Linked DNA regions of Bombyx mori. The main gene of each other region encodes a partner of the protein of the gene in region 3 in a complex. Links are inferred from orthologs where the notes say so. Each region holds a gene or a part of one and is shown on either strand. Other genes may lie near its edges. The genes, in order: PCI domain-containing protein 2 homolog, E3 SUMO-protein ligase RanBP2, nucleoprotein TPR, nuclear pore complex protein Nup205, nucleoporin Nup188, nuclear pore complex protein Nup85 and nuclear pore complex protein Nup214.

What was found.
Region 1: nucleoprotein TPR (region 3) and PCI domain-containing protein 2 homolog share a complex: the UniProt entries of both Drosophila melanogaster proteins name them as parts of the nuclear pore complex. The link is inferred for Bombyx mori from reciprocal best matches to the Drosophila melanogaster genes Mgtor and PCID2.
Region 2: nucleoprotein TPR (region 3) and E3 SUMO-protein ligase RanBP2 share a complex: the UniProt entries of both Drosophila melanogaster proteins name them as parts of the nuclear pore complex. The link is inferred for Bombyx mori from reciprocal best matches to the Drosophila melanogaster genes Mgtor and Nup358.
Region 4: nucleoprotein TPR (region 3) and nuclear pore complex protein Nup205 share a complex: the UniProt entries of both Drosophila melanogaster proteins name them as parts of the nuclear pore complex. The link is inferred for Bombyx mori from reciprocal best matches to the Drosophila melanogaster genes Mgtor and Nup205.
Region 5: nucleoprotein TPR (region 3) and nucleoporin Nup188 share a complex: the UniProt entries of both Drosophila melanogaster proteins name them as parts of the nuclear pore complex. The link is inferred for Bombyx mori from reciprocal best matches to the Drosophila melanogaster genes Mgtor and Nup188.
Region 6: nucleoprotein TPR (region 3) and nuclear pore complex protein Nup85 share a complex: the UniProt entries of both Drosophila melanogaster proteins name them as parts of the nuclear pore complex. The link is inferred for Bombyx mori from reciprocal best matches to the Drosophila melanogaster genes Mgtor and Nup75.
Region 7: nucleoprotein TPR (region 3) and nuclear pore complex protein Nup214 share a complex: the UniProt entries of both Drosophila melanogaster proteins name them as parts of the nuclear pore complex. The link is inferred for Bombyx mori from reciprocal best matches to the Drosophila melanogaster genes Mgtor and Nup214.

Annotation. Positions count from the first base shown.
Region 1 is NC_085115.1:3,909,715-3,914,580, reverse strand, and holds the start of PCI domain-containing protein 2 homolog, read left to right. Parts: upstream 1-1,697; 5' UTR 1,698-2,083; coding exon 2,084-2,299; intron 2,300-2,660; coding exon 2,661-2,829; intron 2,830-3,424; coding exon 3,425-4,233; 3' UTR 4,234-4,866. Other genes in the region: Nopp34 (nucleolar phosphoprotein), read right to left, coding at 206-331, 406-486. UniProt on the Drosophila melanogaster protein: Required for the export of nuclear mRNAs and involved in mRNA trafficking in the cytoplasm.
Region 2 is NC_085121.1:11,016,561-11,020,898, forward strand, and holds part of E3 SUMO-protein ligase RanBP2, read left to right. Parts: coding exon 1-4,338. UniProt on the Drosophila melanogaster protein: E3 SUMO-protein ligase. Component of the nuclear pore complex (NPC), a complex required for trafficking across the nuclear envelope.
Region 3 is NC_085117.1:12,306,813-12,311,150, reverse strand, and holds part of nucleoprotein TPR, read right to left. Parts: intron 4,220-4,338; coding exon 4,091-4,219; intron 3,589-4,090; coding exon 3,484-3,588; intron 2,493-3,483; coding exon 2,393-2,492; intron 1,837-2,392; coding exon 1,737-1,836; intron 257-1,736; coding exon 102-256; intron 1-101. UniProt on the Drosophila melanogaster protein: Component of the nuclear pore complex (NPC), a complex required for the trafficking across the nuclear envelope. Functions as a scaffolding element in the nuclear phase of the NPC.
Region 4 is NC_085121.1:1,006,197-1,011,029, reverse strand, and holds the start of nuclear pore complex protein Nup205, read right to left. Parts: upstream 3,158-4,833; 5' UTR 2,950-3,157; coding exon 2,934-2,949; intron 2,586-2,933; coding exon 2,425-2,585; intron 1,805-2,424; coding exon 1,684-1,804; intron 885-1,683; coding exon 707-884; intron 1-706. Other genes in the region: cap-specific mRNA (nucleoside-2'-O-)-methyltransferase 2, read right to left, coding at 4,821-4,833. UniProt on the Drosophila melanogaster protein: Plays a role in the nuclear pore complex (NPC) assembly and maintenance, but with limited role in NPC permeability. Required for specific nuclear import pathways such as Mad import.
Region 5 is NC_085111.1:4,864,734-4,869,071, reverse strand, and holds part of nucleoporin Nup188, read left to right. Parts: coding exon 1-163; intron 164-675; coding exon 676-968; intron 969-1,415; coding exon 1,416-1,715; intron 1,716-2,032; coding exon 2,033-3,442; intron 3,443-3,791; coding exon 3,792-3,910; intron 3,911-4,242; coding exon 4,243-4,338. UniProt on the Drosophila melanogaster protein: Component of the nuclear pore complex (NPC), a complex required for the trafficking across the nuclear envelope. Required for proper protein transport into the nucleus.
Region 6 is NC_085123.1:528,612-533,438, reverse strand, and holds the start of nuclear pore complex protein Nup85, read left to right. Parts: upstream 1-1,810; 5' UTR 1,811-1,923; coding exon 1,924-1,998; intron 1,999-2,070; coding exon 2,071-2,763; intron 2,764-3,392; coding exon 3,393-3,515; intron 3,516-4,016; coding exon 4,017-4,232; intron 4,233-4,613; exon of another isoform or gene 4,614-4,827. UniProt on the Drosophila melanogaster protein: Component of the nuclear pore complex (NPC) that seems to be required for NPC assembly and maintenance. Required for nuclear import of phosphorylated Mad via importin msk.
Region 7 is NC_085123.1:8,937,068-8,941,405, reverse strand, and holds part of nuclear pore complex protein Nup214, read left to right. Parts: intron 1-3,158; coding exon 3,159-3,296; intron 3,297-3,600; coding exon 3,601-3,789; intron 3,790-3,870; coding exon 3,871-4,338. UniProt on the Drosophila melanogaster protein: Part of the nuclear pore complex. Serves as a docking site in the receptor-mediated import of substrates across the nuclear pore complex including emb, RanGAP and phosphorylated Mad. Protects mbo/Nup88 from proteasomal degradation at the nuclear pore.

The DNA.
Region 1 (4,866 bases), on a different chromosome or scaffold from region 3:
AATAGGCAGGGTGGTTGTTACCTAACCGCGCCCACTCACAAGACCTACCACCAGTAAAAAATTAATAAATGACCTTTTGTACGTTTTTTTTATTGGTATTTACAACAAATCAAATTATTCCAGGCGGTCTATTAACAACAGGGACTCTTCTTCGACGGTGGGACGGTAGTTTGCCAATTAAAGCAAAAAAAGAATTGTAACCAACCTCATAAAATCCATGTGGGATATGTCCCAAATAAACAAGCCCTCTTACACGTTTCTTTTTTTTTATTTTCTCTTCTTGTACTTTAGGGGTGACGGGGGTCTGATCCTTCGCTTGCGTTTTTTTCTTCTGTGATATAAATAAGAATAAGTACACTGGTTTTTTATAACCTAGTCTCAAATATATAATGTTATTAATACTACCTTTATAGTTTTTTGCAATCCTTTAATGGATTTGATAAACTTTTTTTGTTTGCTAGAATCCAACGCAACGTTTTCTTCCATTTTATTTCGTAATTTAAAATGTGATTTAAGCAAAAACTTAGAAGTGTAAATAAAGAACAACAAAGTCTTCTTTTTTAATTTTTAGGGATTTTATGACCTGGTAAGTAGGACCTTTAAGTCAAGTCTTATTTTTATTTTTATGAAAAGTGGTATGAAATGAAGGAAGCTGATTAATATAAAACAATGCACGAAATGTCATAAAATGAAAATGAAAATGAAAACGAAGTGAGACGAGACGAGACGAGATGAAACGGGACGAACGAGCACTTTCACAGATACTAAATAGTTAATAAACCACCGTTATTACACATTTAAACCTGAAGAAACACTTAATAGACAAAAATTTAATAAAACAAATCTCACAACTTCACTCTTCGCATTCCCGCCAAAAAGTCCCAAGCCTTCTCGTGTATTAAGTGCACAGATTGATGTTCGTTTTAATATGTATCGTTTGCGTCAGATAGGTGTAGGCATTACATATTATCTATTTTTTAGCTGCAAATACGGTACATCAATTTAATATAAAAATAGATTCCCTTTGGCTATCTGGTAGAAATAACAAACTCTCGTGTAACAGACACAAAAAGCTCAAGACCTTTAGGCGGGATCGTGAGAAAAGGATTAATGTGACTTGTTACATTTTGTTCATTTACTTTATGCTTAAACGTATAAAACAGTGGTTCACTAGCTTTTTCGCACCTGTGTTAATGCTTAAGGCTATGTTCCGATGTACACTGGGAGCACTGTAAAATATAATGTAAAATTAGTATACTGCGAAGCCATTCCTTTAATAGCTGCACTGGTTACTTTTTTAAATGGAACACAGTACAGTATAAGGGTGAGACCGATATATTAGTATTCATTAAGATATTCGTAATACAGCTTGGGAATTTTTAAATGCATTACTTTTTAATGTTTGAACCTTCATTTCTTGATTCCTTGAAGTCAAATTCCTAGATACAATATACTATTTATATTATTAATAACTAATGTGTATTATCTATGATTATTAACTTATTTCACGAATACCGTATTAGGTTTAACTCGTTTACCCGTTTTATCAAAGTATATTAAGATATCAGGATATTCACGTATTAGTTAAGGTATTATAATATTACATAACGAATATATTTGTATATTGACAAATATCAGTATTAACCCATCGTTAGTACAGTATGATGCCTGCAATTTGTGTCTCAAACAAAAAAAAATGTATGGTTGCCGCTGTTATAATTCACTTCATCTAAAAAAATAAATAAACATTTGATTTCACTTAATTACATTCCATTTCACATAATAAGTATAGTCTTGGCCTTCCAAATGCTTTAGCGGTATAGACTTCTTTCCGTGTGCCTATCCAAGGAATGAAAAACTTATCCTTTCTCCAGTTGAGCTGTGGAAAGTGGAAATGACATATAAAGAAAACAAAATTTCAATGTTTTCATGAGACCGATTTTGCGCTAATAAACTCTGATTCTTTGATAAATATCAATCATGAAATGTCGATTGACGAAATTATAGGAAAAACTACATTCTTGTAATTTTGTATATTAAAATTAGTCATTCAAAGTTAAAAATCCAGTAATACCTAACCACAATGTCGATGATAACTGGCACTCTTAATCAATACATACAATGTGTGGAACGTATGTACAGAACGGGACAAGGTAACATATTGTCTAGACTGTTGTCTCTAAGAGATGAACATGTCTACAATAGGAATCTATTATCTAGCGATATTGCAACCCTTGTCACAGGAAATTGTGTTGCTCCATTAGATGAACTTGTAATTGCACACTTATCATGTCTTAAGGTGAGATATATGAATTTAATTCTGGTTTTAAATTGATAAATATAGATTAAAAAATAGTAAATGTACCATTATTAATCTGGCCGTTACTACAGCGAACATTACCTGTTAAGTGTATTTTAAATATATCGTTTTATTAGCTTCTCGTCAAATACTTTTACTGGTGGCAAGACCTCTTGAGTCAGTAGTAGTCAGAAGCAGTAATGCATTTCGGTCAGAGACTGAGACCTTAGAACTTATATTTCAATATGGGTGGCGCATTTACGTTGTAGATATCTATGGGCTCCAGTAACCACTTAACACCAGGTGGGCTGTAAGCTCATCCACCGATCTAAGCAATAAAAAAAAATGCTTTGCATTCCAGGCATTATATGCAAGTGATTACATTGAGGCATACGATCATCAGAGTATATGTGTGGCCTCTGTCGTAAAGCTATTACAGGGACAGAAAGAAGAGAACTGGTGCCTTCCGGTTATGTATGCTGCATGTTTAGATCTTAGACTTGTTGCACAGAAAGCAGAGGCATCTAGCCGTAAGTATGAATTTGCATACATCATTCAAGAGCTAAGATAAGATGGTAATAGTATCAAGTGATTAGGGCATTAAGAATAAGATGCCTGGAGTACTCATATTGAAATCTTCAAATGCCAAGGAAAATAATGTGTCATAGAAATGAGATCTTATAGTATTTATGATGGTCGGTTGTGTTATAAGTTTGCACAACTAGGTATGTATTACCAAACTGCTTGTTTCTGTACTAAAGCAATCATGTATTCTAGCTTGAAGAATAGTGCAGCAATTACACTATACAATTCAGCCTTAAACTTCATCACTTAAGGCAGACTTCACAAAGTAACGTCTACAGACTCTAGTAACCACTCATCATCTGGTGGCTGTTTAAGTGCAGGTTCCCTTCTACTCAAGATTTGTCTCCTTAGTCTTGTTTGAAGAATGACTAACCCTAAGTGCTCAGTATATTCACAGGTGGTAGGATTCAACTCTGTTATGGTGGTACAATGTCGAAAAAACGAAATTATCTCAAATACTTGCATGAGTTGTTGTCTTAGTCAATATTGTGTTAAATAATCTGTATTCTGTACAATTAATTTCATTTGTCAATATTTCAGCTCAAAATGGCAGTAAAATTATGGAAAAAGCAGCAGAGAGCTTATTAGCTTGCTTCAGAGTCTGTGCTGCTGACAACAGAGCTTCAGATGTGGATACCAAAAAGATAGGCATGTTGTGTCTTGTAAACCAACTTCTTAAAGTATATTTCAGGATAAACAAGCTCCACCTTTGCAAACCATTGATTAGAGCCATTGATTCTTCACCATTCAAAGATCAATTCCCACTGGCCCAACAAATTACATACAGATATTTTGTGGGTCGTAAAGCCATGTTTGACTCAGACTATCGTCTAGCTGATGAATACTTATCGTTTGCTTTTGAAAATTGTCACAGAAGAAGCATACGAAATAAAAGGCTCATTCTAACTTATTTAGTTCCTGTGAAAATGCTGTTGGGTTTCATGCCCGCAAAATATTTACTAGAGAAATATGATTTGCTACAATTCTGGGATCTAATATCAGCTGTGAAAAATGGAGATTTGCGTGGTATCGATATGGTTATGGAGGAACATGAAAAGTTCTTCATAACGGCTGGTATTTATTTGATTGTAGAAAAATTAAAGATTACAGCATACAGAAATTTGTTTAGGAAAGTATATTTAGCGGAGAATTCACATCAGATAGACATAGCCAGCTTCGAGGCAGCATTACAAATCATGGGACAGGAAGATGTTGATTCAGATGAAACTCAATGTATTGTTGCAAATCTCATATATGATGGAAAAATCAAAGGATACATCTCATACCAACACAAGAAAGTGGTTGTCAGTAAACAAAATGCTTTTCCTCCATTATCTAGTCTGTATTAAATTTATACCATTTAAATAATACCTAGGGGAATACACACTTAATTTTTTGATTGTTTTAATAAAAATTAAGATTCCATTAGCATAAAGGCTGATTAAGTGAAATGTGATGATGAGCAATTGTATATCTGACGCAATTTCACTATTTAAATACTTTCTTTTTGATTACATATAATATCCATAAAAATACACAAAACAGTTCAGTAGTCCAGTTTTTTTATTTTAGTAGCACTAATGTGTTTAGGGTTGTCATTAAATAAAATAGAAACTCACAACGGTAGGGGTGTCTTTACACCAAAATATGTCATTAATAAAACAAAATATTATACATATAATACATAACATGAGTCCAAACCTTGTCAGTGAATATGGTTAAGCACTATAACAATAATATCTATTAATTGAGTGTAATTAATGTGGATTTTAATAAAAGATGATGATGATGAGAGATTAATGACATGATGTGTAATTGTTTTGAATCCTGCTTGATCTGTATTAAGTTTAAAATTTAAATAAACGTCTAGGGATTACAGATAAATAATAATTTTGAATTCGATATTTCGCGTCGTTCGGAATCTCTATTTATGAAAATACTATTTGTCCCTGTTTTGTATCGTATGTTGCAAATATATTCCA
Region 2 (4,338 bases), on a different chromosome or scaffold from region 3:
CCCAGAAAAACAGTCAAATGCAGTTAGACGGTGGTTTTCTGAAGGAACATACAGGTGCTCTCAAGCAGGTCATTATCTTTTGTCAAATATTCAAGATAAGAATCAAAAATTAGATCAAATATCACATACACTTGTTGGAACAACTTGGAGGGAAACAATCTATGAAAAAATTTTTAATAAAAGAAGTCAATTGGAACTAATTAAATCTTCATATTTTGCATCAGACGCTTATAAACCTCCAGTTTTAAGACTACCTCGCAAAATTGAAGTTGAAGCATATGATGATGATGCTCAAAAAGTATTTGGAAATTCACTACACCATTATGTGTGGACACTTCTGAACTATAAAGATTACACTCAATTTCGATGCACTCTTTTTAATTTATCAACTGTAACAATGAGTAGCTGTGGGCCCGAAACTTTAAATAATCTAGATATTTATGCATTTCTATACTGTGCTACGTTAACTGCCCATCAACAAAAACTTACCAGGATGTCTTATGTTTCCACTGACAAACCAAATGTTTTACCTGCTCATATTACAGATTGCCTCTGTACACTTTCGCAAATGAAATGGTGGGATTGTGCTTATAAATTTTGTCAAAGTGAATTAGGTACTGAGCTTACAGATATTAGAGCCACATTGAGTCAAGGTATAGAGGTTGTTAGATGTGTTGATAACCATGGTCTTGATCCACATCTTCTTTGTTTACTGGGACAATTATTTAATAACAAAGCTAAATCTATTTCAAATTTCGAAGAGAAGAATCATTGGAAATTCCGTGCAGCATTATACTACTCTTCTTCAATTCCTCTGCTTGAAAAGTTGATTAACAAAATTTTTGTAAAAATACCAGAAAAGAGAATGTTTGCCTATATCAACAAGGAACATAACTCTAAAGAATTGAATTCTTTAATAGAAGAGAGCAAATTATATGTTGCATCTCATCATTTTGATGAAAATGAATATGACAAAGTTATTGACATTGCTTCATCTTTAAAATCTCCAGAAGCTTACTACCTTCTTGGTCAAACATATACTAAAATTGCTGTTTTAGAAAATGATAATTCTAAAGATTTTTCAGTTAATACTAATTCAAGCTTTTTTGTAATGATGAAAAAAGCTAAGCATTATTGTTACAAAGCCTTGGACAGGCTTAGACAAATTGAACCTGACAGAAACCACCCTTTGTATGTCAACATCCAGGATTTGATAGAAAACATTAAAACTTACTTAAACAGAGCAGATCCTGATGTATCAATAAATGACAATTTTAAGGATGACTCTGATTCATCTGTTGACCTTTTGCCAGTCCGAGCTACCGCACAACATACTCGTAATCTGAGTTCTACGCCTAAACCTAAACCTAACCTAAACAACTCAAATATGACAAATTATCGAACAGCGGTTGATTCTCAATTCATGGACACTTCAAGAATTGATCATCAATTTTTAGAAAGAATAGAGACAGAAATCAGAAACTTAAACAAGAGAGATGCTACAATTAATGATTTTATGCAACAAACAAGAATATGGTTTGATGAGAATCGCAACTTAGGAAATCAAATAACTAACACTATTCACTCTAATGTCCAAATAACTACGGATCAAATAAAACTTCTAAAAATTTCAGTAGATCATGTAAAGGATCAAATAGACCAGTGTAGAAATGAATGCAAAGATGTCGGTGAACTAAAAAAGCAAATTGCTGAATTAAAAATAGAAGTAAACAAGTTAAAAAAACCAGCAGAAGCAAGTGATGAGAGTGATTTATACAATACAGATAAAGAATGCAGAAATAATGAGAACACACCAGGCTATGCTACACAACTACCTTATAGTCCTGCTCAAGCTATGGCTTCATATAATCAGAGACTTGTTCCACCTTTTCCAGCACCACCTAATCCATACCATTTATATGGACAAAATTTTTATAACTTATACAATCACTACGCCCAAATAGCTCAAACGTCAACACCTGGAACTGCTCCTATATTTGAACATGCCAGGTCCCAAATGGCGCAATATCCAGGTGTATATCCAACACCAGAACAAATGTTTTTAGATATTGCACAACTTGTTCCACCAGCTGTACCAGTACCCCCAGTTCCGACTGTCCCAGTGCCTTCAGCTCCGACTATCCCAGTTGTACCAGCTACACCAATAACTACTGTTACAACAACAGCTAAATCAACAGTTCCGATTATTTCAACACAATCTTCAATATCCATCACATCTAAATTGGTAAATAAAACATCCAAAGAGACAGCTAAATCGTTACCTGTCAATGTTGTGATAACATCTTCTGATCCATTACCTACATGTACTACAGCACCACCTCCTATACTGAGTGTCACTATTCCTCCTAAACATATAAAAAGCTCCCCTCATAATTATCAAATTCCTATGCCATCTGTGGATGAAACAAAAACAGTGTCACCATCCGTTTTTAGTATTCCAAATTCAGGAATAACTGTGAGTTCATCGACAAATTGGAGTCAATCATCCATTTTTAAAACAACGCAGTCAATTCCTGTACTCAACAAGATGGGTGATATATCATTGATAAAGGATGCTGCTAAAACTGAAATTAATAATGCCAGTATTGATCCTTCACCAAATGCTAGTCTTAATAAATCGAGAACAATATCAGAACGTAGCAATACATCTATTGAAAGCTATGATCCATGTCCAGACTTCAAGCCGATAGTACCATTACCTGCCGAAATAAAAGTGAAAACCGGAGAAGAAGATGAATTTACAATTTTTTCTTCAAGGGCTAAATTGTTTAGGTTTGTAGACATGCAATGGAAAGAAAGGGGCCTCGGCGAAATTAAATTATTAAAACATAAAATTACTGGAAAAGTAAGAGTTTTGATGAGACGTGAACAAGTTCACAAGATTTGTGCTAATCATGTAATTACTTCTGAAATGGAAATTTCACCAATGAAAAATGAAACAAAGGCCTATTTTTGGGTCGCCAACGATTTTGCAGATGAAGCAGTGGTACTTGAAATGTTTTGCATACGTTTCAAGACTTCTGATATAGCACAGGAATTTTATAGAAATTTTGAAAAAGCACGCTTAGAAGCAGCTAATTCAAAGACTGTTGAAATCCACACTGACAAACATGATTTAAAAAATACTACCAAGGCATCTACCCCTAGTGACGTTTCTTCCAAATCTGAAGACCATCCTAAATCTACTCCTGGTAAATCTGTGCTTGGAGGATTCACTTTTAGTAGTACACCAAACATAAAACCAATTAAGGATGAAAAAGAAGTCTGTTCTAAACCAACTGAAACAACTGTAGGTAAATCCAACCCATTTACTGACTTTTCTTTGAAATCTATGTCAAGTTCACCATTTTCCAATTTGTCAACTGTGAATACGAATATATTTAGTAAAAATACTACACCTCCACAAGACGCTGCTAAAAAATTAAACATATCTGACACAGTAGAGGACTTTGAACCCACTGCAGAATTTAAACCAGTTGTACCTTTACCTACATTGATTGATCAAAAAACTGGAGAAGAAGACGAAAATGTGTTGTTTGAGAACCGTGCTAAACTCCTACGTTTCGATGCTTCAGACAAAGAATGGAAAGAGCGAGGACTAGGTAACATGAAGTTACTTATACACAAAGAAAATACCCAAAAAGTACGATTATTAATGAGACGAGAACAAACTTTGAAAGTATGTTGCAATCATTCAGTAACAAAATTTATGATATTCCAAAAAATGCAGAATATGGAGAAAGCTGTTACTTGGTGCGCTAAGGACTTTTCAGAAGGAGAACTGGTAACACAAACATTTTGTTTGCGTTTTAAAACTCCAGAGCAATGCGGAAAATTTATTGATACTGTAAACATGGCACAGAAAAATATGGAAGATGAATCAAAAACTTCCAAGGAAGGAAACAATGCAGCCACACAGAACAATCAAACTGGATTTGGAGATAAATTTAAGTCAAAACCAGGGTCTTGGTATTGTGAAACATGTTATACCAATAACTTGGAAAGTTTTGACAAATGTGCTTGTTGTGAACAACAGAAACCACAACTTGTTGTGAATAATAAAGAATTAGGTTTTGGAGACAAATTCAAAAAGCATCCAGGAACATGGGAGTGCCCGATGTGTTTAATTCGCAATGAAATTGGAGTAAAAAATTGCATTGCCTGTAAAACACTTAAAGATCCTTCAGAAACAAATAATAAACCAGAACCAGAAGTACAACCATTGCAATATTCTTATGGAATACCTGGTCAAAATGCTAAAACCTTAGAAAATAAAACAATACAGTTTCAAAATACAAATATTCAAATATCAACTGA
Region 3 (4,338 bases):
CTGTGATTATAGAATTTAGAATCAAAAGAATGTTCAAACTTATAATTTCAATGAATTATAGTCGAATTGCGACTAGTGCGGGACCACTAGTATGCACTTACGATGATGAGGGTCGGTGGTGGCGGGCGGCATGGCGGGCGCGAGGTCGGCGTGCGTGTCGTGGTGCTGCAGCGGGGCCGCGTCGGCGCCCGTCGCCTCGGAGAACGTGAAGCGAGCGTCCGCGCCGCCCACCGGCGACACCACCGCCTCTCCGAAACTGCAACATCACAAACACGTGTCAATCTGCGAACTACGTCTTTGTTAAAAAGCGTTAGTCTTAATTATTCAAATAAAATAAAAAATAAAAATTATTCAACATAAATGAAAGTACATACTTGTTGAACGTCAAAAGAACTACCGCCAATTCACAAAAACTAGCCTCTGTCCTGAGAAGAATTGGCAAGAAACTCAGCGGGTGTATTTTTTTTTTATTTTTTTTTTTTTTTTTTAATTTTCATTTTTACAGTGAGTATTATAACATAACAATTATTACAATATTGAAATGCCCGGAGCGAGCAACTCATTCCCACTTTGTGCAATCTTCTAGCGTACATATTAACTAGTTCTGTCAAAAAATACGACCACGCTGAGGTTGAGATTCAACAGCAGATATAATGATTTCAAAACTAATATGTACAGTACCAGGCAATAAATATTACACACCGATATTTAGAAGGAGACAGTCGTCTAATTTTGTTTTGTTGTATAGCGTTACTTGTATGAGACGAAACACTAAAGATCCGATATCTATGGAGACTAAATGTCAATTCGGTAATGGCATTCCCGATCCTGCGGACAGAATGGAAAGCAGTCGACGTCGCCCCAAACATGTCATTTCGGATCCTCCCGATTCACTAACGGTGCTTTTAGGTACCTCAAGCACCGGTCATCCTTCCTGTCGAACCCGTCGCTTGCGACGAAGAACTCGACGAGTAAATTAACCCTCAGACACAGCTCACTGAGTTTCTCGCCGGATCTTTTCAGTGGGTCGCGTTTCCGACCCGGTGGTAGATTCTGCGAAGCACGGCTCTTGCTAGGGCTAATGTTAGCAACGTCGTCAGGTTTAAGCCCCGTGAGCTCACCTACTTGTTAAGGTTCCGCTAATATAGCCTCTCAAGGCTATCAGCTTAGGTAGAAAAAAAAGGGTAAGTGGCGACAGATGCTCTACGAAGCAAAAATTAACCGTCCTTTTCCCACGGTCGATGTGCAATATTTATGGCCGGGTACTGTACCTAATGTGTATTACCGAATAACTTCCACGGATAGGACAGTCGTTACAACGATACAATTGAAGGTTTCTGTTCATTTTTCAAGCGGGATAGCGGAACGTTATCCACGCTGTGATGTCATGGTCTGGCAGCCACGGTGGCGCTTTAATAAACGCGTATTTCGTGAACACGTCTATAAATATAGGTATACAAAGTATAGCGAAAGTAGTTGGCGTGAAATGCAGTAAATGTTAGAGAAATACTCAACATATATATTTAACATATTTTAGATATTACGACACATGTAACTACCACTTGTATTTATTTTTGTGACCTATTAATAATTTGCAAGCTTCCAAGATCATGCGGAAGCTGAAAGGGTTTCTATCTCATTTTAGGTATCCTTGAGTATATAGTACATTATTTTATTTTAGTATCACTACCACAAACATAGAAAAATTTTCCCAGTTCCTTTCTGGTTTGACTAACCCATCATTTCTACGTGGCACGTACAACGTAGGTGTTGAAGGAACTATACTGTCATCGCCGTCATCTGCACCGTTGCCTCCTAAAGACAAGGCGCCACTTGCTATATGGAAAAAAAATACTTCATTGTGGCAGGTCAGTTTTTTATAGATTACTAACGTCTCACGCCTGTGTAAGGATAAGTAGCACGCCTTAATCTTATTCAGAGGTTACCGGTGATTATAGACATCATAATCTGAATACCGCCACGAACCTTGAAACATGAGATTAAACTTCCAATTATATTATACATAACTATACAGCTGCCCCACTCTTTAAGCTGTAACGCATGACTCGCGGTACAAATAGGCAAGTGAGTGGCGGACGCACAATACGGCGCGCCACCAGTAACATGCGATAGAAACGCAATCGTCGCCAATACCATTAACACTGTTACTGTTCGATCATAATATGTCCGCAGTAGTCATTTTAGCTTCTTTGGTGTTGGGGCCGTTTTAGCTTCCTAGGTGTTGGGCCTGTTTTAGCTTCCTTGGTGTTGGGGCCGTTTTAGCTTTATCTGTGTTGGGGCCGTTTTAGATTCCTTTGTGTTGGTGAAACGCTTTCTTGTTTTGAAAGGTTAAGAATGCAGTGGTCGAGTTGTGAGCACAAAGAGTACATACGTTCGGTTCCAGAGCTGATGGCCTCGATCTGTTGCTGCGGGGGCGCGGGCGGCGCGGGGGTGGGCTCGGCGCCCGCCTCTGGGGACTGCACAGGTGAATCCTGATCAAATAAAATTACAGTGAACCATATAAGTATTGCCACTAATGTGCAATAGTATTACTCATATTTACTTTCACAGCATGATGTGACTGACACTAATGCACTAAGTAATTTCCTGCTCCTTCTAATTCATCAAGCCTTCTCAGTTTAATACTGCAATAAAAGTGTTGCTCTTTGAAACTCACTTTAAAAATAACCAATAATGAAGAAATAAAATAAAAAGTATGTTTTGTTCAAAAACCATTATCGAATCCTAGCACTTCAGGGCACAACAAATATATTTATTTGTAAGAGCCAGTCTCCTCACAGTTTATCGACGAGGACGCGGCTGCTTATTTTCAACATAAAATACTAACAAACATTACAAATAGAAGTGAAGTTCGAAATTGTTTTGTGGAAATTTTCTTCTCTTTGTTTCTTTTTTATTTCTCTAACATTTTTATTTTTATTTAGAATAATTACTTGTTTTTTTACAGATATTATATTTCTCATTGCAAACAGTTCTAAAAGTATTATCGATTTTTTCGTTACTCTATTGAATTATGATTTCCTAATAGTTTTATGATTTGATTATTATCCTGTTAGGTTATAAATGCGAAGATTATATTGTTATTGACATAAAGTGTAAAGTACACAACTGGAGTTTATAAGTGAAAGATATATTATAATAATCAAATAGAACTTTTACATTAATGTTCTATATCGATAAATCAAAATGCCACACCAAACTAACAGCCGCCGCACATTGCATCTTGCACATTGTTAAATGATTATGCCTAACAAAATTAACACGTTTCATGATAATTTAAAAAGTTAGTTGGACAAAAAAAAATTATATTCTTTTTCATTGAACAACAAGGATTAACCCAAGGCCTTCCTTCAGCACTTCTGTGCTAGAAACAGTACACTGCGATGAGTCTCGAACCTATGCTCTGACATTAATTAAGTTCTTAACTGTCGAGAGAGACAACTGGTCAACACACAAAATTACCTGTTGTGCTGTATTCTCAGAGTCATCGCCCTCGACTTCCTCTTCGTCGTCTGCGCCTTCCACTTCCTGTTCCTCTTCCACATCTTCTTCATCCTCTTCACCTTCCTGTACAAAATAATATATGATTATATAATGCTCTCATCTAAATAGGTCAGTGTAAAGCTCTTTGTGTATTATGACAGAGTACTATGATCGCCAACCGGCATCGACTGATGGTAGACCATATTGTAAGCCCGGACGGGTAACCTGCCTATTATTCCTTCGAAGCAGTAATGTTTCAGCAGTTCTGTTTTGATAGGTTTGATTTCAGTTATGGTAATACAATTGAGATTTCAACCTCATGTCTCAAGATGGATGGTGGCATTCATGTTGTGATGTCTATGGAGATGTCTATATTTTAATTGCAAGAAAGTAGTTATCATGATGTTATTGAGATGTTAACTAGATGTCTCTAGGAGCGAGGGGTGCCAGCGTTCATCGCTTAACATTAGACGCCCGTGAGCTTGTATGTTCGTCTACGCTATCAAAACAAATCTAGTGCACCAAACGGCCCCGATATTGCTAAGAGTTCATAGCATCAGTCTACAACATTAAATTATTAGCTTACTCTGTACATGGTACCAGTGCAGCGTTCGTCGTCTTCCTCAGAGTCTACTACAATAACACCCTCGTCGTCTTGATCGCATCGTGATGAAGTTGGTACTTGATATTCCACTTCTACAGACCTTTCGAATCCCTATTTTCAGATTTAATAAATTATCATTACCTTAATTCGACAGTTAAGATTTTTATATGAAACTTTAATTAATCTCCTAAGCCTATGTGTCGTTGTAAAGTATTATTAAGGATCATTCC
Region 4 (4,833 bases), on a different chromosome or scaffold from region 3:
AAGTCGAAGTTTCAAGTGTATTGCAACTTTGAACTTTAAGACACAAAAGTCTGTTTTATAGTACAATAGCTGCCTCACCCTTGAAACTAAAAAGTATTACTTCTGCATGGCAGGTCAGCCATACTTATCCATACAAGTTCATGAGACTTACCGATAAAAGTCGTCGTGGCCTAAAGGATAAGACGTCCGGTGCATTCATATTAAGCGATGCACTGGTGTTCGAATCCCACAGGCGGGTACCAATTTTTATAATGAAATACGCACTCAAAAAATGTTCACAATTGACTTCCACAGTGAAGGAATAACATTGTGTAATAAAAATCAAACCCGCAAAATTATAATTTGCGTAATTACTGGTGGTAGCACCTCTTGCGAGTCTGCGTGGGCAAATACCAGCACTCTGCCTATTTCTGCCGTAGAGCAGTAATGCGTTTCGGTTTGAAGGGTGGGGCAGCCGTCGTAACTATACTTGAGACCTTTAACACCAGGTGGGCTGTGAGCTCATCCACCCATCTAAGCAATAAAAAAAAACACCATACCACCAATGAGACTGAGAGATGTAAATGCTGACTAGTACTGCTGTTAGTAAACCCTCACTAGACAATGTTAACATCACACAATCATTCTTATTTTTCAATTTACAACCTTTTTCTGCACATAATGTATTTGTAAAATGAACTAATTTAAAACAAAAATTTGCACTCACCAACAAACACCTTCTCTGGCCATGCATAGTTCTTTTAATGCCTGCACAAGTGCTCTACGTCCATCATAGTACAGCAAAACGGCCACAAGGCCTCGTGGCAGACCAGGGTGACGTGGTAACTGTCGCTGTGCTGTATGAAGCAGCTCTAATGCAAGGTATTCATTCACATTGAACATATCTGTAGACAAAAATATATTTTATGGACTATATTATAATGAATTCACAGAACTAATTTTGGTTCTTTAAAACATTAAGTGAAACATTAAAATACAATGAAAAGATTTAAGTTACAGAGATGTGAACCATGCAGGATTTACACATACTTACAATGTTGTTTTTATGAATGAACTGGCCTGTAGGCTTTTCCTGTTTCACCAAGACAGGTGCGCGAGCAAAGGCTCAGCCAGGAAGGAAGGGATTTATTTGCTAACAGCTGCCTGAGCGCCTCTGGCGGAGACCTAACAACTCAAAGGCAGCTGCTTTGCAAATGAATCTACTACCAGATTGGAATCGCTAACAAGATCCGGCAAGAAACTCACTAAGCTGACGTATGGGTTAGGTGCCCGTGTGAGTATGGTCACCAGTGTCTCTAAGAATGCTCCTAGCAAGCTAAGGCATCTAATGCAAGAGTTATTGGATCTAATGTGTATGGACGTGTCTAGGGCGTCTACAGTGACTGGCTCCTGGTGAGCAGGAGTTGGGGAGTAGTCAGCGGCAGTATTGATAACGCGATTATCTTGACAAATAGCCTTGCGAAGTACTCTTCTGAAACTGACTTCAGGTTTTTCTGGATCAATTCAAGATTACCGATGTATCAAAAAGTTGAGCAAAAAAACTTCAAATACACAAATTTTACTATAAGAAACCAAACAAAATATTGGAGTGAAAATTTTTAAGCTGGAGTCTTGAAGTCACAAAAGATATAGGATTCCTTCGTATTTCTTAAACTTTTAATGAATTCAAATTCATAATATTACCTGATATAATGATAGCTTCATCCACAAGTTCTTTAGATATGATGGTCCTCCCTATGCTAGGCAGTGTGATACCTTCAGTCATACCCCTCTTTAGTTCCTCCCTGCTTGCCAGGTTTTTTGGCTAAACAACATAAAAAAAATACAAATTTACAGTAAAGTATAACACAACATTAGGTTTTGATTTTCAAGTTCAAGGTTTCAAAAAGAAACCACCAGAGATGAAAACACAAATTTAATTTAGTTTAATTAACTAAATTTTATAATCATTTTATACCTATCGGTTTACATTGTGGCATTTAGCATTTGAGTGGATTAATGATGACTTAATGAATAGTGAAATCAAGGTGATAAGGAATTAAATCAATTGCATGAAAGAGTGGTACTGCACATTTAATTTTACAAATGGTCAATTGGGAACCTTTATTTTATTACTTATAAGGGCAAATGAGTTCTCAGACCACCCAATGTAAAGTAGTTACCAGAACCCCTTCACATCATAACATTAATGCCTCCACTGTATTTGCAATAGACATAAAATAATTTATAAACAATGTAACCTATTATGAATATTTACAAAAGTAAGATTATTATAAAAATATAATAAAAAGCACACTTGACTTCTTACAATCAAATTAATTGCTTTTCTTGATACTACATACACTTCAAGATCATCTCGAGTTTTGTTAGGTTTAATGAAACAGAAGTATCATGAAAGAAATTAGTAAAAAATATGTCACTCACTGGATTCTTAAATAAAGCTAGAAATGTTTGCTTGTGTCTTCTAAGAACTGACTCAAAGGTGTGTACAGCATAAAGGGCCCCACCACTCTCATGTGTAAGATAACTCTCCACTACAGACACCAACTCTTTGTAGGGCGTCCACAGATCGTCTGTGGTATTGCCTGAAAAGTGGTAGTTCATTTAGACAATTCAATTAAACGTATGAACGCAGTTAGGAAATAATAATTGTCTGGTCTTATTTCTCGGTGAACCGATATATGTTTGAAGATAATCAATGAAATTCATTTTAATTGTTTTTTACAATTTTTTAATAGATTTAAATAGAGAATTTTTTTAAACATACTTTGTTTAATTCCGCTATATAAATAGGAATTCTACTGCAGAGAACGACGACTGCAGTATTGTTTAAGAAGATCATTTGAAAGAAAAAAGGGAGATTTGTACATTTATACTTTTAGTAAAGAGAATAAAACAAATTTAGGTTATATGTCGGTATCAGTTTTGTTTACCTTCGTTGATTTCCATGATTACTTAGCTGTTGGCATCAGACTTGAAACATAAATATTAGTATTTCACGCAAACTTAAGGTATATGACTATCTTATTAATTATATTTATTATTAAAATACTATTAGTTTGGCGTTTGAAACTTGAAATTTTTTGAATGTCTATAAATGAAGCGACAAACAAACGCGCGCGGTTGCTTTTTTTTTTGACAGTTGTTGTCAAAGTCAAGTTGAGTAGTGGTAGCAGTTCTATTTTTCCAACTAGAAAAGTAAAGATATCAAACCATATATCCTAATCTTTTTTACATATTATTTTTTACGATTTATGAATCCCTTATTAATAAATAACAAATCAAAATAATTTAACATAAATCCACACAAGTAACATCCCATACCAGGCACCAACCGACTGACCATGGAATTAGAGATATGGAATAAACTCAGTAAAATGTTGGTTATTTCTCAGTTATGTTTATGTTGCTTAAATGGGTGGACGAGCTCACGCCCCCCCCCCCCCGTCACCGTTCCCGTCGAAACGTAAATTAACCGTCAGACACAGCCCACTGAGTTTCTCGCCGGATCTTCTCAGTGAGTCGCGTTTCCGATCCGATAATACATTCTGCGAAGCACGGCTCTTGCTAGGGTTCGTGTTAGCAACGTCGTCAGGTTTGAGCCCCGTGAGCTCACCTACCAGTTAAGGTTCCGCTGAAATAGCCTCTCAAGGCTATCAGCTTAGGTAGGAATAAAAAAACCTACCCCTGGTGTTAAGTGGTTACTGGAGCCCATAGACATTTGCAACGTAAATGTGCCACCCACCTTGAGATATAAGTTCTAACTTCTAAGGTCTCAAGTAGGTATAAGTATAGTTACAACGGCTGCCCCACCCTTCAAACCGAAACGCATTACAACTTCATGGCAGAAATAGGCGGGGTGGCGGGTGGCGGTACCTACCCGTGCGGACTCACAAGAGGTCCTAATTTTATAATAATTTGCGGGTTTTATTTTTATTACACGATGTTATTCCTTCACTGTGGAAGTCATTCGTGAACATTTGTATTAGAAAAATTGGTACCCGTCTGCGGGATTCGAACACCAGTGCACCGCTAGATACGAATACACCAGAAATCTTATCCTTTAGGCCACGACGACCTCAGAGTACAGTAAAAGCTCTTTATTCGCGGAGTATATGTTCCGTAAATATGCCGCGAACATAGAAATCGTGAAATTTCATTTATCAGGCAGCGAAGACGGCTCCTGTCAAAGACAGAACCAATACAGCGGCGATGTCATATCAATTTAGCGTTTTGTTTTAGGCCTGGTGGTAATAAGATCTATTTAACTTTTTATTAGTCTATTTGACGACGCGTTTACAAATGATATTCGATTGGATACCTACTTATCGGAATTCCTTTTTAACAATGTATCGATTACGTCCGCGCAACGGCGTATCCAGGAGGGGGGTCATGACCCCCCCCTGAGCTAGTTCCAGGACTTGAACTAACTTGGACTAATTGAAGAACATCATGATTTATTTATTATCTTAACTTGCCCACGACTATGTGACCCCCTCCCGGCGCCAAACCTGGATCCGCCCTTGCGTCCGCGAATAAAGAAATTTTTAGCATTTTTTTTAAATCCCCTAATAGTGAAAACGCAAATGAAGCGCGAACAAGGAACTTTTATTGTATGTTACATGAAAGTTTTAATATATTTATTTACGTAGAGCTCATCATCGTAATAAAAAATATATAGAACCACATTGAGATAACTTTATTAAACATATTTCAAACAGACACAACAATTACACAGGTAAAGTACACTAGAAAAATACATTAAATTTCAAGTCTTGAATTCAGAATATTAGAGTAAATGCAAAAGACGAACATACATTTTATATTAATTTC
Region 5 (4,338 bases), on a different chromosome or scaffold from region 3:
ATACAGGACCGGCGCGCCATGTTGCAGCGCTGTATGCGCTTCCTGACCTTAGTGTTGCAAGACCAGAAAACAGATGGCAGCACCGCGCTGTTGAAACGGACCTGTGTATATAGTTTACTGCACACTGAAAACGCTTTGGTGCTGCTCAAGATTATTTCACTGGGTGAGTTTTTTTTTCTCCTTTTTTTTACCTAAGCTGATGGTCTAGAGAGACCATTCCAGCGTTAGCAAGGGCCGTGCTTCGCAGAATCTACCATCAGATCGGAAACGCGACCCACTGAGAAGATCCGACGAGAAACTCAGTGGAATGTGTCTGTAGGCTAATTTACTCGCCGAGCCCGTAGTCGCAAGCGACGGATTCGACGAAAACTATGACCAGTGCTTGGGGTACCTAAAAGCACCCTTAGTGGATCGGGAGGATCCGAGATGACGTGTTTTTTCCTATCCATTCACTGGTACCCTGTAAGGGTGTAAAGGATATTCCACGGGACCGCAGACAGGTAGTTGAGCTCATGGGCACAACCTGAGAGGGCTTGCTAACACTAGCCTTTGCAAGAGCAGGGCAGTATCTACCACCGGATCGGAATAAATTGAAATTTTAATTATTTTCATTTATTTTGTTACTATATGTAGAGAACAAAATATAAAAATATATGTTTTATTTTAATTTTTAAGGAAATGAACATTTAGAGAACATGATACAAAATGAAACGAACTGGTCATCCGGTACGGGTTCACAGTTTATATCGATAATACAGAGGTGCGTGGCGGTGCTCATGTTCGCTTTGCGTCTCAAGAGTCTCGTCACGGGATCCAACGAGATGACGCCGTTGGAACATCTCATATTCACTCAGAATAAGCAGAAGGATTCATTGAAAGTTGTACCCAAAGTGACAAGTTATATCAATCACGTGTTCAACAAAAGCTTGGCCGTGTTGTGCTGTAGGCTCTTGAAGATGTTTGCCGATGTGAGTATTATTATATTTATTTAAAATCCAAGCAAAAGTGAAGTTTCATTTTGATAAAAAGGACATACACATACATGCTCAAAACTCGAAGGTCGAACTAGGATACTGATTAAGCAGCGAGGGCTTAGATACAATGAAAAAATAATAATAATTTAATATTATAGTTTATTTGTAAACTGTAAAGTTTTGCCACACTCTTGTTATTATTATTTGATAATTTGGTTAGTAAACTAAATCACGGGTTCCCGGTTCGATTCTCAACATATAAGTATTCAAATTGAAGCTACGAGTGGTTTGGGGCTCAATAGGTTTTATCATTATCTTATGACATCAATATTATTTTATAATAGAAGGAATATAACCACTTAACACCAGGTGCGCTGTGAGCTCGTCCATCCATTTAACAAAAAAAAAAAAAATTAAATTGATGATTTTTTTTTTACACAGAGTTTCCAGATGTCCTTGTTCGCGTCGTTGGACATGACCGCGTACCAAGTGCGGGTGTTGTTCCTCGATCGACTTCGCGACGAGTACGAAACGACAGAACTAAAAGTGGCCATACTAGAGTTCGTGGCCACGTGCGTGGGCACGCAGCCCGGCCTCACTGAAGCGTTCTTCATGATGAACTACGAAAAAACGAATGACGATAAAAAACTCAAGGAAACCGATAAAGATAAGGAGGAAAACCTGTACAACTACGAAAGCATCCTCGGTTATATGGCGGAGTACTTGGGAACTGTGAAGGCTGTAAGTCATCTTCTTTGTCTCCACCTTATCCCACTAGGTGGGGTTGGTACAGCGAAATTCCAGTCTCTTCTATCAGCCGTCAAGTCAACACACACTCCTCTCTTTCATATCGTCATTCACACACTCCATCCATGTCTTTTTCGGTCGACCTCTTCCCTCTCTACCTGGCACTACCACTCTTACGCGTCACATGTCCATACCACGCTAACAGTCTGTAAAAGGTTATAAGTCATCGTTGGAAGTCATTTATCAGAGCAGCAAACAAACAGAAGTACCTACTTACAGATTGATTCATAATTGTGTAATTATTATTTCAGGATGCGAAACAACTTCAAAGTCCGCTCTTAGGGTGCATAATGGGTCTGTTCCATGCTCTATGGAAGAACAATATGCAGATTCTTGTGAAAAAATTACGCGAAACCGCAACATTTTGGGATTACATGACCAGTCCACTCTTCAGTGAGATACAGCCCGGCTTGAGAACTTATTCGCAAATATTCAACGTTATCGGCATAGAACTATTCGTCTCTCGGGGGAAAATAGAAAACGCTTTGAAACTGATGCTCGAGCAATTGTTTGATACCAACAAAACCCATTTGGACAAATGGATCAACCATATATTTGCGTTTAAAGGTAGAAGCGAAAATGAGCCCGTCGATAAAGTGCCGGTCTGGCTTGGATTGTTAACCTCTTGGAAAGATTTCACCACGATCTTTTGCAAAACCTTACCGATAAGTTTGAATATAGCGCACAAAGCGAAAATGGTCACCCCCTGCATGACCGCCTTGTTGAACGAACTCGAAGATCTGAAAGACGGAAGACTGGTCGTTATGTTGGCCGAACTGTACGTCATAATGTTGGCCAATTGGAGCCACGATTGCTTTGAAAACAGAAAAGCCAGTGCCAAACAAATCGATCGTTTATTAACCAACACTGCGATTATATACGAATGCCTCCACCCGAGGGCCAAAAAAGCCATCCTCTCCATCTGCACAGTCGCGATCAGCGGTCTCGATTATGAAATAAAGGCTAACAGTGCCACCGCGCAAAGCATTATTAGATCCGTGACCAATTTAAATAGCGTTGAGTTGGAGAAATTGTTTGACGATTTCAAGGATCTTCCTAAATCGGACACGAAGACCACCGAGCCCTCGACGTACGAGGACGTATCGCCGGTCGTTCTATCATTGGCGATGTTGGAACAGTGTCTGGAGTTGTACGACGACATGTTCTCGGGACTATCGCAGTGGTTCCAGTCGAGTCGATTCATAAACAAGCTCCTGTGCTGTTTGCAGATGTGTTTACAGAGCCGTCGCCATTACCAGACGTCCCTGGCGGCGTTACGGTGCCTAACTGTGTACTCCCGGGGACCTTTCTCTAAGGAGCTCTTGCTGAGCGATATCGACCAGTTTTTATGGATGCAACTGTTGCCGCCAAAATTCGACGGCGTAACTTGGAAGCCCGAGGAGTGGTGGAAAGTGTACTCGTACAGCTTAGACTTTATATCCATGATGGTCATGAAACACGGTCAGTTCTTTGCGAGTGACGCGATCACATTTGTCGGGGTCCACTTGGAACATTTGATAGAGGCCATAAACCTGCCACGACAGGTCGTCAGCATCGATTCGTTAAATGTATGCGCGTCCGCTTTGAATCTTATAGTTCAATTAGTGAAATACGAATCTAGATGGCGCTTACAGAACATGCATTCGCTTTTTGGTATTATGGTGAGTATTATTGATAAGATTATAAATTACTAGTTGTTATTCGTGGCTTCACGATCAATGAAAAGGTTGCCGGAGTCAGTTTCCTCACATAATTAAAAAAAAAACATGTCAGTCCGTCGCTTCGTTTCGACATGGAAGAAAGACCAATGAACATAAAAAAACACTTCCATATATACCTTTCAATCCATTTTTCAGGAATTGATTAACGTAAATGTTCTAGTTGAACAAAGGTTATTTTTGTAAAAAATTTAATCCGACCCAATATTTTTTTGTCAAGTGAAATGCATATACTACGTTAATGTGCATAAAGAATATCTTCATTACATAAATATATATTTATTTTGAACAGAGAAGTATAAGCGCGTGCCTGTACCAATGCGTGATCTACATGATCCGATCGCGACGTACCTCCGACGCCGCGCAGCCTCCGAGCGACGACACTCCGCCGACGCCGTCCTTATTGCCAAGGTAAAAAATTATAAACATTTATGTTATTTAAAATATTTTAAACGAAACCGAAAAATTAAATTTAAAATTCAAGTACAAAATTGATCACGTCAATGGTAAGACAAAAATTTCACAAAAGCCATTTACGAACTGATCAACAGATGCATCGAGTTTTTTTTTAAGTACCAACCCGAAGAATCCCAATGCCCTCGGAACATTTGCAAGGAAAATCCTTGCAGTTGGGGTGCCATGAAAAACGGGTCCCTCGCAGAGAACGGACTAAGTTACAACTTTTTACAAATGGGCCATAAGGTCGTCTGCCTACAACGACAACAAAAAAGCTTTTCTTTCAGGACCTTAGAAGTTCTCCACATGTCTACACTGTGCTTGCTATCGTTCAGTCCCAATCTGCTGTCACTACTCGCTGACCCCGGACTAGACTTGGAGAG
Region 6 (4,827 bases), on a different chromosome or scaffold from region 3:
AATTAGTACACAGAATCTTCTACGATCGCCGAACGTCACGGTACGACACAGAACACAACACGACCGCCGAAGCGGGTTTCTGCGGCCTAATTCACTCGGTTTAGTTTTTCACCGCTCGCTACGTCACAGTCGCGGTTGCAGCTCACGGTTTTTGTATCAATATTATGGCCCCTAGACGAGGTGAAGGCCTCAATGATTCGGATCACTCTAGAAAGTCAGGTCACATGAAATATTAAGAACTAAACTTACCAAAAATAGTTAAATCCGACTTTGACAACAAACGAAAACTTTCAAGTTAAATTGTTTTTATATTGGATATCGCATTATATTAATTAAAACGTCGAGTTATATTATAACAGTTGACTTACTTTATAATTTTGTTGTAAAATAATATACCGTTTACAAAACAGTTTTTGACGAATTGAAACTGTCAAGATTTAATTCATGACAAAATCAACAATATGTCCTCCAACAGGTCATCCGGTCAGCGACATTACTTATTAAATAAAAATGCAAAGTCATCAAATGTTCACGTACCTTTATACCTTGTAAATACTGGAAGGATTTAATTTCAGGGTAAATATAAACTTAAAAACTTTTTTTATTATAGGGGATAAACGTTTCACAATGAATCACGAGCGTCAAACTACGAAAACAAACAAAAACGTCAACTGTCAATGCATACCTTTTTAAAATATGTTTACGGCTATCATACTCGACTTTTTAGTTATCTTGGGTTAAAGTTTGTCTAGCACTGTTGGCCGTATGTTCGTGTATTTAAAGTTTGTAAGAAACTTTTCGGCGGGGAGGCAAGGTAACTGTATGGATTATTTTATTTTGTTAATTTAGTGTTGCTTCTAGTTTAAACGTATAATCATGGTAGATTATCAATCGTTTAGCATCTGTGAAAGTGCAGAAGTTGAAACCCGAAGTACAAAAGTCGAACGCGAACGAAATTACATGTAGATTTCAGTAAATTTCATTATTGGGTATCACTGTTCTGTCTGTTTCTAAAGCATAACAGTTAGAAAGCGTTCCGCTATGAAAGGTGGACTACATAGTCTATACAATACAAATGAGTCTTTGATTTTATGTTTTGTGATCGGTGGCAATATTAACGTAGTGCTCGGTGCGACACGATAATCTATTTAATGTGACCGCTGCTTATTACATATCCGACTCAAAGGACGAGGCAACGTAAAATTACATCGCGAAACATGACCTATCCGATCCTTTCACTCACGGTTACTTTCTTCATCAATCACGTCAATTGCGACGAAGTTTTCGATGATCGAATTAACTCATAGACACAACCCACTGCGTTTCTGGCCGGATATTCTCAATGAGTCGTGATTCTGATCGGGTAATAGATTTTGCAGCGGCACTGTTCTTGCTAGGGCTAGTGTTAGCAAATTTTCTCAGGTTGAATTTCTGAGCTCATCTACTTGTTTGCGCGTAGCTGAAATAGCCCCTTAGACACCAGCGAATAGACAACGAATTATAAAAAATAACAGGTGCGTATTGCTCGTCAACTTATCTAAATCTAATAGGAAGGAATGAAACCAAATTGAATCATCTGAAATTGCAATGAGATGAGATGAGGTGACGTCGAAATAGAATTGTGTGCGTATTTTTGAAAAAGATACCGCTAAGCCATGTCCTGCGATTTTGTTTTATTTTCTCACACCTGCCCATATACACATGCTAAAAGATTACTAACCCACTATTATTACGCATTTGACCAAAAAGAATAATTGGCTGTATGGATTTTGTTTCCTTTGCTTTCACCTTGTTCTATGTGTGAAACAAATAAAAAAATCAGCGCATTTGAAACGGCGGTTTCTGATCAATTCTGTTTCGCATTCAAATGTTTACAAAATTTTATGTGAAATTGCATTGTGTACATGAAAGATTTAATACAAAATGAATATAACGACTTTTTCTAACAATAATGTTCGTGGCGATGATAGTAGTCCTATTATTCGAGCTAAAACATTTGTAAGTAATTAACATGATTCAACGAATATATAGGTTATGTTTGAGTTAAGTTATTTTTTTTGTTTCTTACAGAATATACCAGAAAAATGTTTCAATAAGGGCGTAGGATGTGCGTGGAGGAGTGGTAACAAGTTTTCTATCTACCCACGCAGTCAAACTGTTTCGAAAACACCAAAAAATGATGTCGAAAACAAAATACTCAATATACGTCACGAGATTGTATTATTTCATCCGATTTTACGAAAACTGGTAAACGAATCCAATGGTACATATTTATCTCTGCAGAAACTCGTCGATTCTTCAAAAAATAATGACAATCACGTGGAATTATTAAAACTTTCACGACAATATCGTTCTATTATAAGAGTGTGCATTGAAAACTTGCAAGAAGCCCTTAATGATGCGAAAGACGGCAGCGACATGATCAATTTACAATCATACATTACAATATTTTATTCTGTTGAATGTATTTGGCATTTATGTGAGATCCTTTACATAGATAAGATTCCCGGAGACATTGTGTTGCCATACCTCCTAGAATGGGTTCGATTCCATTTTCCGTGCCATGAGCAGACTGCAGCGCAGTTGCTGGAGGCCTGTGAGCGAGGTTCAGAAGACCACGATGACTATTGGGATACTGTGATTGGCATGGTTGTGCAAGGGCGAGTAGATGTCGCCCGAGCTCTACTGAAATTAAATTCATTATCAGAAACAAATGAATTTAAGCTTGTTGATAATTCATTACGGAGTATGCCTGTTTATAGTGTGAGTATAAAAATGAAATATAATTTCTAAAGTCAAATTATCATTTAAATTCCTCACAAATAAAGGGAACAATTGATTTTCATTAAGTATTCCACAGTATAAATTAATTAAGAGCAAAAATTATACTTTGGATAGTTAAGAGACAATTTATCTGAACAATTCCATCACCATTTAGAGATGTTTGGAACATGCTAATAAGATATTTTATATGAATGTTTTTTCTTTATGAATGAAAGATTACTGGTGGCCCGGAGGCCTTTCCAGTTTCACCAGGACAGGTGGGCGAGTAAAGGCTCAGCCATATATGAACTTTACTCTTGTCTTATTAGATTTTTATGTCTAAACTACTGAATGACTGTTCACATGATATAGGTTATAGTCCACACATGTCAAACTTCAGCTGGAAAACTATTTTGGGAAAAACAATTAACACCATCAAAATTTATAAATTTATGTTATTATTAATTTATGTAACCATTGTGTCAGATCAAAGACTTCATTGTGGTTATGAAAAGTTGTATATTATTAAACAAATTTAACCTGGGATATCCTATAGCTAAAAGTTCGATCTTACCTCACATCTTGCCATAAACACTTTACATCTACATAACATGGATATAAAATTACAGATATATGGTGGTATATCAACTGGGGAGTTTACAGTAACTTGGAAGCATTGGCAGGCTGAATGCAGAGCTAAGGTTACTAGCAGAGTGTTGGCATCACAACCAAAACTTGAACTTATTATGAGAGTAAGTAAAGATGTGTGAATCAATTAAGTAACTGCATAAACTAGAAACTGTTCTTGTCCTCAAAATTCTTAGATTAAAGTGTATACCACCATCATCATCATTTACTACATTCAAAAAATTTGTAAAATTACCTATTTATCTATGCTAATTTCCCCGTTCTAAGCCAAATCAAATAGGAACATGGCAGATGCAAGCATACCTGTTGAATAACGGTAATAATAACAGCATAATATACAGCAAATAAGAACATTTAATTAATTTAATCAGTTAATCTATAACTTCAAAATAAATGAGTTATGATTTGAATATTGTGAAATGAATTTTTTTCTTAATTGAAAATGTTTTCAAGAATTATTTTTTTATATTATTAAGTGGTTCATTAATTAACACTAAGTCTTAAAATAGGCTTTAGGAAGATGAAGTGAGCTAATTAGGCTTATTTTTTATTATACTAAAACATTGTGTAATTCGTTTACTAATTTATACAATTTTGTCCCACAGTTAATCATAGGAGAATATTCAGCATTTGAGTCAATACGTAGCACATACACATCGTGGTTTGATATGTTGGGAGGCTACGTAATGTTCACAGCACCTTGGTCTAGGACTCATGAGTTGTCTGCTGCAGCATCGGCCTGTGCTGGAATGGGATCTATGCCCTCAGGCTCTAGGCTGGATAGGACTTTACGGGCATTGTTGGAAGGTGATATGCATCAAGTAAGTGACAGATGCCAGTAAGCTGGTAAAAAGATTAGTTAAATTTTTAATTAATTGGTACAGCCTGGCCATATACAAAGCACTGCGCAACCGGTGCAACCATTTGTGCAGAGATGCTAAAAGACTTTACTTTCACAAATCACTTGAAAATCGCAGCCCTGCTCATACTTGGAGATTCCTTAAATCTGTCGGCATTGGCAAAACTCCGGTCTCTTCTGTCAAGGATACTGACTTGTGCGCCCTCAATAAGCATTTTTCTCTCCCTCCTGTGTCACTCAGTGATTCGTCAAAGACGGCCACGTTGCTTAAGATTTCAAGTCTATCCGTACCCCGGATCCCTATTTTTGACTTAAGTCCAGTCTCGGTTGCTGATGTCCGTAATTCCTTTTTCTCCATCTCATCCACGGCTGTTGGAATTGATAACGTATGCTCTAAAATGATTGCCCTAATTCTTCCAACGGTAGCACCTATACTTACCCATATTTTCAATTTTTCCTTTACCTCTAGCAACTTTCCTGATTCTTGGAAACAAGCCTACGTTGTTCCTATCCCAAAAAGCCCCAATCCTATTTTGCCATCTCAGTTCCGGCCTATA
Region 7 (4,338 bases), on a different chromosome or scaffold from region 3:
GGGCCCGTTTTCGGCTCGCTCGTACATATTACGGGCGAGCCTAGTCACAAACTCCACACCTAGGTCCCGGGCAATAACGTCATTTCTGACGTACTGCCCGGCCCCGACGATAATGCGGAGGGAAAGACTCTGCTGGGCCTGGAACCTAGATCGCTGGGACGGCGACAACAGGTGATACCAGGCCTCAGCAGCGTATGTGAGGCGGGAACGGACGTATGTCTTGTAAATGGCGAGTCTGGTCCTGGTCGGAAGCCCGGACGCAAACACCGGCCGCAACAAGAACATGGCCGCGCGAGCCTGACCGATGACTCGGTTGACGTGCGCGACCATGCTCAAAGAGCGGTCGATGTCGCATCCGAGATACCGGACCGTGGTCCTGAACTCGATATTCACACCTCGGAGGCTGAGTTTCTTTGGGACGACTCTGATACGGACCGGACCGTAGAGTAAGGCCGCGGTCTTTCCCACATTGACCGCGACTCTCCAACGGTCCAGCCACTGGGGCAGTAAATCCAACAGCCTCTGCATCCTCATAATGGCTGCAGAGGGGAAAGGAGAGGACGAGAAGTAGGCCGAGTCGTCAGCGAACAAGGCCAACTTCACGTCCTCCTCCCACGCCCGAAGGTGACCCTCCAGGGTGGGGATGTCGTTAGTGTAGAGGGCGTATAGAATAGGTGATAGGACACTACCCTGGGGAACCCCGGCCGTAATGGGACGCACGGAAGACCGTGCGCCCTCGACCGCGACAAAGAAGATTCTGCCCTCCAGATACGACCCGAGCAGTCGCACGTGAGCACGCCGAGCCGCGCCAAATACGGTGCTTTTATAGGCTTACTCGGTAACGGTATAGTGCGTTTAGCTAGTGGGGGTACATCTAACACTGATTATCGCCAAACGTCCGTGCACTGCGAGTGTAACGAGCAAAATGTGCGGAATTATCTAGGTACCCTCCTTATATAGGCTTGCCGAGTATTCGATGGCGATGTTTCGGAGGCTCCTTACAATATATATGAGCATTTCTCAAAATAAATGCACCACCAATAAAATAATGTACTAAAATAAAAATGTTAAACTAGAGCATTTTTTTTGTTTTCATTTGTAGATAGGTGTCTAAAGATTTTGAATATGAGGTTTGTTCTGAGGTTTAATATGTAATAAAGTAGAGAAATGTGTAGAAATATACCAAGGTGGAGAAATATTCTTATTTTGTTACCGTCTATCAATTACGTTAATTAAAACACCAAATCAATTTCGTCAACTTTTATGCATTTCAATAGGGTGACATAACCATCATTTTACGTGTCTATAAAAAACTGTTAACATTTACAGCAAAATGTTACTTATATAAGTTGTAATATATCCTTTACGTTACCATTTGCCCACAACTTTGTTTTAAAATCACAGTAAAGAAGTTTTGATGTTGTTTTATTTTTAAATACGTTCACAAATGAAATAACAATACACTTCTTTTGCTTTTTTAAAAAAAATTGCAGGTTTTAAGATAATAAATAAAAAATTTGAAAAGAAATACGTGTCCGCTTTTATGGGACAGTAACAAAAATGGAATATTGGTAACAAACTAGGATTTTATAAGGCTAGTTTTCGAAGTAGTTCAAATTATAATAAACTTTGACCCGTGTTAAAAATAATTATAATTATATTTATATATGTAGATTATAGTATGAACTGCTGTCAAAGGACATTTAAACATTTTTCGTTTAAAAAATACCCTATTCAAATATTTAGGAACATTTACGAGTAGGTAACAAAAATATCGTTTCAGTTCTTTTTTAATCATAATGAAAAGGAGGCCTAACGGTTTCTAATTCAGTAAAAACCTTTAATAGCAATAATCACATTCATCGGCTGGATAGTGATCGTATAAATCATAATCACATCTTTGGCACCAAAAAAATGGACAACGTAATAATATTTTTATTTCTACAGCGTTCATACTTGATACAAAATGCAGCGGATTATTAGACGAATCTGGAATAACATATCGGTGCCTTGATAAAATGTGTCGAAGAAAAAGGCCATGATAGGCCAAGGTGTAAACACAGGCACGCCACTTTTGTCTTTGTTTATTTTTTTCGTCTTCTGACATCTCACTTACTGATTTATATAAATAAATAATATAAAATAAATTCATAGTACAAATCTGTAATAGTACAACAAAAAAAACAAAGAAATTGACGCCGTTGTAATTGCAATAATTATTATAAAATTATTTTAAACAGAAAGTTAAATAATAATAATAATATATTATATATACTCAGCCTAATGATTTCCTATTTTGTTACTCTCTTTTCCATTTATACGTTACCACACAAAAGTAACAAAAAAAGAAGTAACAAATCAAGAACAACATGTCATTTTATTTGTAAACACATGTAACTCACACGATTACTCTTATTTCGATTTGATTAACGAAATCAAGAATGGGAGCTTTAATAGTAGGTTAAGTGAAATAACAATAAAATCTGCACTTATCTATGTTTTATGAGTAACAAAGGTGGAATTTTTTTTTTGACCGCTAGCTTAAATATTGACTTTTACCGTTCGTACCGGCACCAGAAAGAACTAGTCGAAATTAAAACAAGACGGATGCCAAGCCGGCTAATGCTACCATTATTCTAAAATATAACTGCATTAATCGATTATCATATTTCTTCAGAATTATGGTAACAAAAACTGGAATTTCTAGGTGGAACTTTTTACGGGACAAGTTAAAATCATTAATTAGAAATTTAATTATAAAGTAATGCTAAAAAGGATGTTTTAGGATGAATTGTGACTTATGGCTATAAATAAATAATATTTTTTATTTATACAATGCCCATGTCCATTCAACTAAAGATCGATGGTTTGGTAAGATATTGAGATTGGGACACTGCACTTTTCATACAACTGGTTGAAGCTGATTTATGATATATATTTTTAATGAAAAAATCTCATTGTATTTAAATCTGTTTTTTTCCTTTCTAATAAGTAGAGTAGTTATACTGCTTACACAATTTATAAAAAGTAGTAATGAACTAATATATTAGCCGGAACAAAATATTAAAAAAATGGGACAGAGGCTAAAGTCTATTGTGCAATAATTTTGAGAAATGCTCATATAATACAGAAATCTAATTTCCTTGTCTTATTTTCAGTGCCCCTTAAAGATGTTATTAAAGCTGAACCTAAAATGGAAACAAAACAATTTACCGAGACAGTAGCGCCGTTCTCGCCCATTCAGAGCAAACCCTCAGTACCGGGACTTCAAAACGTCACTAGAACATTGTTTACCGGTATGGTTGTATGATTGCATGTTTGTTGAATATTTCATACTTATGTGTGTACTAAATATCTTTAATCATACTGGTCATTCATCGCCTTCCCAACTCAATGTCAGTAATGCTTAGCCTAATCAATGTAAACAAGGATTGCAATTACTGTGTGTTATGAGGAGATTACTTAGAAAAATAATCAGTGCCCGTGTACTTATTTTCTATTTTTAGTCCACAATTTAGTTGTTTAAGCCTGAAAATTTGCAAAAATTTTTCAACAGATTATGTAAATAATGTATTAATAAAATAATAATAACAATTCCAGAACCGAAGCCCGAAGAACCCCGAGTTAGAATTCCTGTTGAATCTTTTAATTTTACTGGAGTTTGCTATGCACCACCCCCATTCTCATACACATCGCCTGTACCTAATATGTCTTCAAATCAAACGCCTAACAATGACTTGAAGCAATTCATGGGACAGAAAATATGCTCACCTATTTCTCCGTTCTCAAGTAAGGTTAAAACAAAAGATAAGACTTCGTACATATTTTTTTGTAATTATACCCAACTGATGCTTTTGTTGTAAAATTTAGATCAACCAGCTACTGCGGAATCGTTAGTGCCGGCCAATAAGTCGACAGCGAATCTTGGACTTAGTCAAAATAGCTTGTCTTCGAGTGCTCAAACACAGCCTGTGGTTTTTGAACCCAAACCTGTGACTGTCGCTTCTGTGAAATCCAGTGAAACCGGCGAACCTGAAGGTGCAGCAAAACCAGCCGACAGCAAGAAGGTTAATAAACCTATTACCAACCTGTTTGGTATGAAACCAACTACCCCATTTGCACCCACCATCTCTAATGTACCGGACGTTTTGAAAAGTCATCAAGAAGTACCGAATACAGAAGTGAGAGCCGTCGTGAAGCACAATGAAAACGCGATAGAGAAACCAAAAGAGAACATAGCGGCCAAAGTCAACGATGAATCTAAAGTCGTTCAAAAGATTGCCGAAAAAGAAAATGTTCCTAAAACGTTTGTCCCGCAAATAGTTAAACCGTCACCGC